2 linked regions of the Daphnia pulex genome follow. The protein of the gene in region 1 binds, or shares a complex with, the protein of each later gene. Links are inferred from orthologs where the notes say so. Each region holds a gene or a part of one and is shown on either strand. Other genes may lie near its edges.

The links.
Region 2: unc-112-related protein-like (region 1) and LIM and senescent cell antigen-like-containing domain protein 1 share a complex: the UniProt entries of both Caenorhabditis elegans proteins name them as parts of the integrin containing attachment complex. The link is inferred for Daphnia pulex from reciprocal best matches to the Caenorhabditis elegans genes unc-112 and unc-97.

What each region holds. Positions count from the first base shown.
Region 1 is NC_060028.1:2,206,092-2,210,497, reverse strand, and holds the start of unc-112-related protein-like, read left to right. Parts: upstream 1-1,577; 5' UTR 1,578-2,001; coding exon 2,002-2,143; intron 2,144-2,965; coding exon 2,966-3,486; intron 3,487-3,572; coding exon 3,573-3,805; intron 3,806-3,887; coding exon 3,888-4,277; intron 4,278-4,351; coding exon 4,352-4,406. Other genes in the region: cysteine-rich DPF motif domain-containing protein 1-like, read right to left, coding at 1-114; putative transferase CAF17 homolog, mitochondrial, read right to left, coding at 226-1,338. UniProt on the Caenorhabditis elegans protein: Component of an integrin containing attachment complex, which is required for muscle development and maintenance. Probable regulator of cell-extracellular matrix adhesion. Required during initial muscle assembly to form dense bodies and M-lines.
Region 2 is NC_060026.1:14,674,668-14,678,967, forward strand, and holds LIM and senescent cell antigen-like-containing domain protein 1, read right to left. Parts: upstream 2,887-4,300; 5' UTR 2,746-2,886; coding exon 2,456-2,745; intron 2,376-2,455; coding exon 2,271-2,375; intron 2,210-2,270; coding exon 2,097-2,209; intron 2,031-2,096; coding exon 1,838-2,030; intron 1,778-1,837; coding exon 1,636-1,777; intron 1,575-1,635; coding exon 1,458-1,574; intron 1,394-1,457; coding exon 1,252-1,393; intron 1,188-1,251; coding exon 982-1,187; 3' UTR 536-981; downstream 1-535. Other genes in the region: protein SAND-like, read left to right, coding at 3,564-3,947, 4,008-4,144, 4,208-4,300. UniProt on the Caenorhabditis elegans protein: Component of an integrin containing attachment complex, which is required for muscle development and maintenance. Probably function in adherens junction.

The sequences.
Region 1 (4,406 bases):
CTGAAATTGACCACCTTCTTCGATTTGTTCTGCTTTCTTTTCTTCCTTGGGTTTCACGATTTCACCAAGTTCTTCAGTCGGTTCCTGCTTCACCACTGGATCAATCCTGTCCATCTAAGGATAAGTGAAAAATCAAAAGTGGAACAGAGAAAAACATTGTATTGTAACAAATTGAAATGCCAAACACATGTAAAATGTATCTATTGTGGGGGTAGTCTTTTTATTTTAAGAGCTAGATTCAAGTTGGGCGCGATCTTTGGGCGCTTCAATGGGCCACCAAGCCGGTCGGTGGGTTTCGATTAGATTCGAGTCGATTTTCAATTGAGAAGAAGAGAGGGCTTGTTGTATCCGCAAGAGGCCGAGACCGTAAACTGATCCGTGAAGATATCCTCGTAGTTTTCCCACCCGTTGTCCGTTTTCATCAGAAATGGTCGATTCTAACTGGATGGAATCGGAAGGCTGTTGGAAGACAACCGGCATCAAACGTTTTCTGGTTACACCCGTGTGGTAAGTCCTGGCCGTAAGTTCCTGTCCCAAGTAGCACCCTTTATGGAAGCTGACGCCGTGCAGGTAGTCGCAATTACATTCGAGTGGGAAACATGTGCCGGGTGGCATATCTCGAGAGCCTTCTCCCACACCAAGTTTATATCTGAGTTCAGTGTATCGATCAGTGTTGTCCACGCAGAGATTCTTTATTAGGTGACTTAGACTTTTGTTGGAATCAACCAACACTCGCCATCCCAGTTCCTTGACTCTGGGATCTCGGGCTAAAATGACTTCATTACTGAGATCTTCGGGGGGCTGATCAAAGAGAACCCAAGGCTTCAGTGTTTCCTCTACAGAGATAACCACCTTCCTTCTGACTCTGAACATGGTGAGGTGTTTTGCTAGAGATTCCGAGCACTCTGCATCACATTCAATCAGGTAGCTGCCAGATTCTTTTGAAGAGTGGATGATGGCATCGTAAAGTATTCTTCCCTGCCGGTTGAGGAACATGCAGTACATGTTGGGATTGTTATCTTCGTCCAAGTGTTTGATATCGTTTGTCATAAGACCCTGAAGGTACGGACCGGCATCCACTCCAGAAACTTTGACGATTGCCCTTCCTTTGAGTTCCTGTGCGTTTACTGTGCATTTCTGGTGAACGCGTCGAACCGAACTAGCGGCCACCGATCTCAGAGCAACTGCTTGAATAGACCGCCACATGGACGAAACTTTTGGTAGAAGGGGAGTTAAAATTGTTATCGTACCTTGCAGAGAGAGATTGAGCTCGATTGTTGAGCAAGTCGTGGTCGATTCGATTTGTTTACAACTAAAATGTAGGAACTCCAGCGCCATCTGACGGTGCTTGAAAATGTTAGAAAATCTCCTAATCTAGTCGATCTAGTCCAAGGTTTTTTATTTTTGTTTATCAGGAGATCGAGATTGCTTTCATCAGTGCGATATTGAGATTATAATGGAATGGAATTCAAGGCAGTAAGTATGAATGTAAGCTCTCAACAAACTATTATATTATTTTGATTCACTTTTTTTTACGTTTCGTGATCGATTAAAAGTTTGAATCGATTGTTTAGATCTGGAAGTGGGATTTTAGGGTACCAAGGCGTTAGTTACACGACTCTCTCATACCGAGTCTGGATGAAACGTCGACTTGGTCTTACGGCCATCTGTTTATATTCCAACACTATTCACACACAAGGGTTGATTCGCCCCCTGAATAAGTGATCACCTCGACTGCGTCAAGATGTCAACTAGTGATTGAACAATTTTGGAACTGTTCATTCTGTCTGAAAAAGCCATCGAACTATTTGAGTGTGTGTGTGTGTGTTTGGTGTTGGAAAGGAGAAAAGAGTTGTGTGTGTGTGTGGGTTGCCCCGTTTGTGTTGCCCATGTTTGGTCACGGACGGGCATCGCCTCTCTCTTGGAAATTATTGTTTGGTGCTCTAAGCTACAGGTGCTCTGCTGCTGCCTTGTGAGAGAGAGAGAGAAGAAAAATTCAAGATGATTGCCGACGGACATTTGGTCGGTGACGGGAGCTGGGAATTGAAGGTGTTGGTGACTGACTTGTCGGTCGAGCGATGTCTCCGGGTCAAAGGTGACCTGCACATTGGTGGTGTTATGCTGCGTCTCGTCGAGGAATTAGGTATGCAATTATTTGTTGTCCTTGTTTGCCCATATTTGGGGATTCAACTGCGAGGCTGACATCATCACGCCCCAATTTCCCAGGCGTCTGTTTGCTTGCATTTAAAAGACATTATGGGGGGAGCCATCTTGTCCACATCTGAAATGAGTTCTTGGTCGCCCACTAGCAGCTACTAGTGCTCCCTCTGTCGGCCCAGTCTAGCGCAGACAGGAAAGAAAAAAGGCGGCATTTAAAAATAGCCTCCCCTCGCGTCACTCTCTCTTACAATGGATCTCTCTTGAAAAATAAAATAAAAACCCCTCTGAATATAAATATATTAAAAAATCAAATAAAATCCGACAAGTCCTAGAAAGGTTGCACTCCTCTCTCTTTGATTCCGCCGTTGGCAAAGGCTATAAGCGAAATAGGGCGGGCGATTGGAATGCACAGTCTGGTGATCGGTATTCTCATCACGTCAAGGATCACTTGAATGTTTATTTTTGAAAAAAAGTTAGTTTGTTGGAAACACCGTCAGCAGCTTGTGTTATGTGCACATATCGCGGTTCGGCGTAACATCCGGATGATTTTACCCAACCACAAACGTCTCTGATTTCAGAAACGAAATTATTCAGGACGACGCCCTTTTTTTGGCCACCATGACCCATTTCATTTCCGCCCCATATACACCACCACCACCACCCACCTGAATGTGTGTGTAATTTCACGCCCAACATCACGTGATCACAGTGATGGATGTTTTGGAATAATCAAAATTTATGACCCCCCACCAGTCTATTTTATATTCACATTTTGTTACATCTTATCTTCTTTTCGTATTTTTAGATATTGCGGCGGATTGGTCGGATCACGCTCTTTGGTGGCCAGCTCGGAACTGTTGGCTGTCCAGGACCCGTTCGACGCTGGATCAGTATGGCGTCCAGGCGGATGCTCTGCTGCATTTCACTCCCATGCACAAAACGCTGCGCGTCCAGCTGCCAGATTTGCGCTACTTGGATTGCCGGGTGGATTTCAGCGTCAAGACGTTCAACGCCGTCGTGACGCTGTGCAAGGAGCTCGGCATCCGGCATCCGGAGGAGCTGTCGTTCGCCAAGCCGCTCGAGTCTGACGATTTGCGCTACAATTATCGCGAACGCGAGTCCAACACGTCGCACAAGAAGCGGACGGTGGCCAACAATTCGGCCGACACCAACACGTTCATCGGTCACCACGGCAATTCGACTCACAGTTCCAACAACAGTTTGGACAACATTAAGGCCACCTCCGGATGTACGCCCGTCCTGCCCAACACGACCATCAATCGGTCCCCGGCTCCCGTACCCACGCCCATCAGCTCACCAGTTAATGTGAGTTGTTGTTGCCATGTATATTTTTTCACGTTTTTTGTCTTCATAATAATAATACTAATCATCATTATTTTCTCATCCATCAGTCGGGCACGTGGAGAAAGAATTCACCGTATTCGACTCCGGGCAGCAACGGCCACAATGCGACACCATCCATCTTTGACATGACTGCCAACAACAGCCTCAACACGACGGCCAACAGCAGTTTCTCCAATATGGATATGTCGCTGGCGCTCAGTCCGGCCACACCCAGCCAGGAGGCCCGATCCAGGCTTCTTCGACCCAAAAACTTGATCGAACGGGCTCGTCTTAATGTGGCGTGAGTTTCTCTTATCTATCCTAACCCACTTTTATAAAAAAATCAGACAATATTGATTTATTTCCCGCATTATTTTCATCAGTTGGCTGGACTCGTCCTTGTCCATCATGGAGCAAGGCGTGCGGGAATACAGCGCGCTCCTGTTGCGCTACAAATTCTACTCATTTTACGACCTGAATCCAAAGTACGACGCCGTGCGCATCAATCAGATTTACGAGCAGGCCAAATGGCAGTTGCTCAACGAGGAGATTGATTGCACTGAAGAGGAGATGCTCATGTTTGGAGCCCTTCAGCTCCAAGTGAATTTACAAAGTGCCCAGCCTCAGCCGCTGAGTGACACTCGTGACGGCGACGACGATATCGACGCCGCCCTGAGTGACCTCCAGGACACTCTGGAAGGCACCCACGTTCACAGCAACACTAGTGACATCACTTCCATACCGGAATTGTCGGATTTTCTTCGTTACATGAAGTAAATCGATTTTTTTATTCCCCCACATTCGTTTAATACTTATTTTATTTTATTTTTTTAAATTTGATTTAAAGGCCGAAACGTTTCACCTTAAAAGGCTTTAAACGTTATTGGTTCGTCTGCAAGGAT
Region 2 (4,300 bases), on another chromosome or scaffold:
CGGCACGGCCTACACCTTTTTACGGGGTGCGTTCATAAGTCGTCGTACTTTGTTCACAAATGATTTCCAAAAAAAAAGGTCACCAAAATCGCCAAAGGCTATTAGCTATTAGCTCACCCTACAACAGAATGGAGATTTTTACATTTTTGTCCAAATTCTCCAAAGATCAATTCTCGACAACGAATTTGATTATTTCTCTATTTTCTAACAAGACAAACTTGAATTAATAAATTATAAAGAGCCGGGTTAACTGATCTCATATCATCAGTGCATATTTCAAAAGTAATATCTTCTTATGAGTTTTCATGTCATTTTCAATTTAACTTTATCTCCGTTGCGTCGGCAGCGGCATTAACTTAAAATTTAATCAATATCGAAATTTAGTTATTACATGACTATTTTGAGCGCCTTCTCTTTTGTGACCTATCATGATTGTGGATCTTATCATTTAGGTAAATGTCTGTCTTAGCATCTTGAACAACAGATTTTTCCCATTCATGACCTGTGAACGCATTGATAAAATTGTAAACGCTACTGTGAGATTATTAGTTTATTACATGTTTAAAAATCATTATTCGGAAGACACGTCAGCAGTTGTTAAGATATTTTGTTGTTTTTTGTGAACTTGAAAGTGATTTCAATGAGGGAAACATTTTAAAAGTGTGACTGTAGCTTACAGAAATAAGCGAGAAGTGAAGTAAAAAAACACGAAAATCCTGTAGAATTTAAATATGAATAATTCTTGTACTTACTCTAATCGGCAGACGTAAAGTCATTAATCGCTTAACTTGTAATTAAAAAGTTTGTGGTCTTATCTTTGATACAGTAAAAGCAAGGCACCTTGTGAAGGAAAAAGAATTTTAAAATTCAGCATATTTATCAATTTAGTAATTTACTAGGAGTAAGAATATTAAAAGGTAAACAAGAGCCGGAAAAAAAAACGAATCCAATTATGTTGATTCGTTACTTATTTTTCCCATACTAATTCGCTGCAGAGCTTTTCCTCGGGCTAGTCTCGTAAGCTTTCTTCAAACGCTTCCGAAGTTCAGCCGGAAATTTATCGAAACATTTTTTACAAGTCGGTTTCAAGTCGAATTCGTAGAACTTGGTTTTCTGCGACATTTTTGTGTCACAAACCGAACAAGCGAAATGGTGAACACACCAGGCTTTGTTCAATGCGGTAAACACTGAAAAGAAAAGCCAATCAAGGTGTTAATGTCTTAAAAGAAGAACATGTATAAAATGCTTTACCATCTCCTCCAATAACTTGATTGCAAACGAAGCAAAGATTGCCGAAAAGCTGATGATAATGGGTTTCGCAATAGGCAAGACCCTTCTTCTCATAATGGCGATTACCCAAGAACGGTTTCTCGCATTTGGCGCATACGAAATGCTACAAATCAATCCATTGTAATAGGTAAATTTAATCCCTGTGATGATTTCATTAAGTTTTATACCTCAACATGAAAATGCTTTCCTAACGCCGTAACGACACGCTCTTCAATTGGACGACGGCAAGCACCACAAATTGGAATACCCATTTTGTCGTGGCATCTCAAGCAATACAACTCGTTCTGTGTAAATTTTAAACAATTGTCACAAAGATATTAAATGTTAAAAAATAATGTGAAATACCATCTCATTAGCGGTGAAACCTGGTCTGCTTTTAACTTCACGTGCGTCCGCGTTGAGTTCGATTCCGCAAGACGAACAGTTGAAATGATAAGGATGATAGACTTCGCCACGGAAACGTAGCGGACGATCATCAATCATAGAGCTAAATAAAAATAATGATCCTTAGATTCCGATGAAATTTTCAACTATACACAGCACTTACTGGCACTTATGGCAGACATGTTTTCCCAAGCTGGCGGCTTTTGCTCGAGCGTTACAATCGTGGCAGAGTGCCTTATTCTGGTGACGAATGAACCCCTGGTCGGCTAGTTCTTTGTCACACATCTCGCAGAGGAAGCACTTGGGATGCCAATTGGCATTCATTGCTTTAATAACACGACCGATGATAAATTCACCTAAGAATACAAAAAATGCGTTATTATTTAAAAATCTATGAATTAGTCAATCGATTTAACGCTTACCACAGCGACCGCAACAAGGAGCAAAGAGCATCTGAAAATCATGCTCACAATACTTGCGACCCTCAAACTCGTAAAAAATTCCTTCTGGAAAGGAGCGAAAGCATTGAGCGCACCTGTGAAAGATTAAGAAATTAGAATTCAATTTCAAGTAAAAATGTTGGTGTGAGTACTTACACAAAGCACTGGGGATGCCACAGCTCTCCATTTGTATTGACAATCTTTTCATGAGGCTCAAAACCATAATCACACCTCACACATTGGGTGTTCTTGTACATATCGCTTTAAAGTTCAAACCATTATTAGTTTCTTGAAATTCAGAATGTGTGAAATCTACTATACTAACTGTTAAACCACAATACCTATCAATATTACTAGGTTTAAGGTTTCTAGAAGGAAGTTTAGGAGGGCTGTTAGCATAAGTATTTTTTAAAATGTAAGTTTGAACTGAATTCAAGCTAGGTATCTGAGGAAGTGGTTGATTTTGAATTCCCTTCGGAACATCATTAGATGTAAGGTCTTCAAGCAAACCCTCAAGTTCATTTACTTCACTTGCACTTGCACTTGGTTTCATCTTATCCTCCATTCTTCTAAGGTAAAGGTTACTATTTTCAAAGGGTTTAAGAACAAGAATGTTAGGTCTTTTTGCCATGGTGAAAAATGGAGTTTCTTCAGTGAACACAACCGAAATGTCCAGCAATTTATGGGGTGAAGAACGGCAATTGATAACTAAATGTGTTATCTCATGTGTGGCCACTTCAAGAGCTTATTAATATCAGTAATAGTATTTATCTTATCAATAGCTTACCCAGGCGGCATTTGAAATGAACACAACGATAAAATAAACTCAATAACTATAAGAACTTCAACAGATTGTAGAGACCTGTGGACGAAATCGGGTGCTAACACCAACACAAACCGCGCCCGTTCAGAGATCAGCCCAAATAAGGAGATAATTTTGTGAAAAAAGTGAAAGGGACTAAAATGCGGGAAAAAAGCTAAGAGAAACGCAAAAATACTATGTGCTAAAATTGATAAAATTCCTTGTAAAAAAATTAACATTTGGTTCTCGCATTTTTTAAAATTTACCTTAATTCGGATTGAGCCCCGACGAATTTCGAAATCGTTGTTTTAGACATTTCCCTTCTTTTTCTTTATCATTTTACCGCATCTTCTAAATCCACGATTTACTGCATCCGGTCCGTATTATAATGTTTTGATTGACTTGTAGAGCCATCTGGTGGTCATTCAACGAACTCGATTAATTAATTGTTGTCTTTTCGATATCAGTATATAAAAAGCACACCATTACCTTTGTAAAATTAATTTTCTCTGCATTTGTGACGTTTTTCAATTATCGGAACTTCAACCCATTTTATTGTGACATCTGACATTAAACGCCGCCCTCTGTACACGCCCCTTCAAAACACGCCGCCAGGTGATGTAAGAAGCATAATTTTGATAGTAAACATGGCTTCAGAAGTAGTAGATTGCGAAATTATTGTTTCGAATTCGGTTAACAATTTTGATGCAGCTACTAGCTCCAGTCATGGAATTCTTGACAGCAGTGATCCATATGAAAGTCTAAATAATTTAAGCGGTACCAGAACAAATAGTGATTCCAATGATGTGAGCTTAAACATACAACCTCCTGCAGACCCCGGTTGTACTGATGGTTTTCAGAACGGTGATGTCGGATTATTAGAAATTGCCGTTGAAGCTCAACCTGATTTGATTTTTGAATCAGATCTTGTCTCCAATAACCAAGACCAACAATTTGTACGGCCCAGGGTCTACTTAGAACGAGAGTCTTTCAGCAATCAAAATGAGGATTCCATATCACGTACAACCAATGTGAGATTTACTGAGTAATAATCTCCCCTCAAGATTTGTTAAAAAGCATTAATGAATCAGGCTTCATCAATCTTGGAAGAAAATTCCCTGCCAGCTGCTGCTGGTGATGAAGAGAGTGGATCAGACTCCTTGCTGTGGAAAAATCAAAAGAAACATTTCTTTGTCTTGAGTGAAGCAGGAAAACCCATCTACACAAGGTTGGGTTTGAATTAGCTATTTGTCATTTTTTATAATTAATTGTTTTCCTTTTTAAATTACAGACATGGAAATGAGGAGCAGCTTGTTACCTTATTTGGAGTGATGCAGGCACTTGTTTCATTTGTGGAAGATGGGGAAGACTCCATGGATATGAT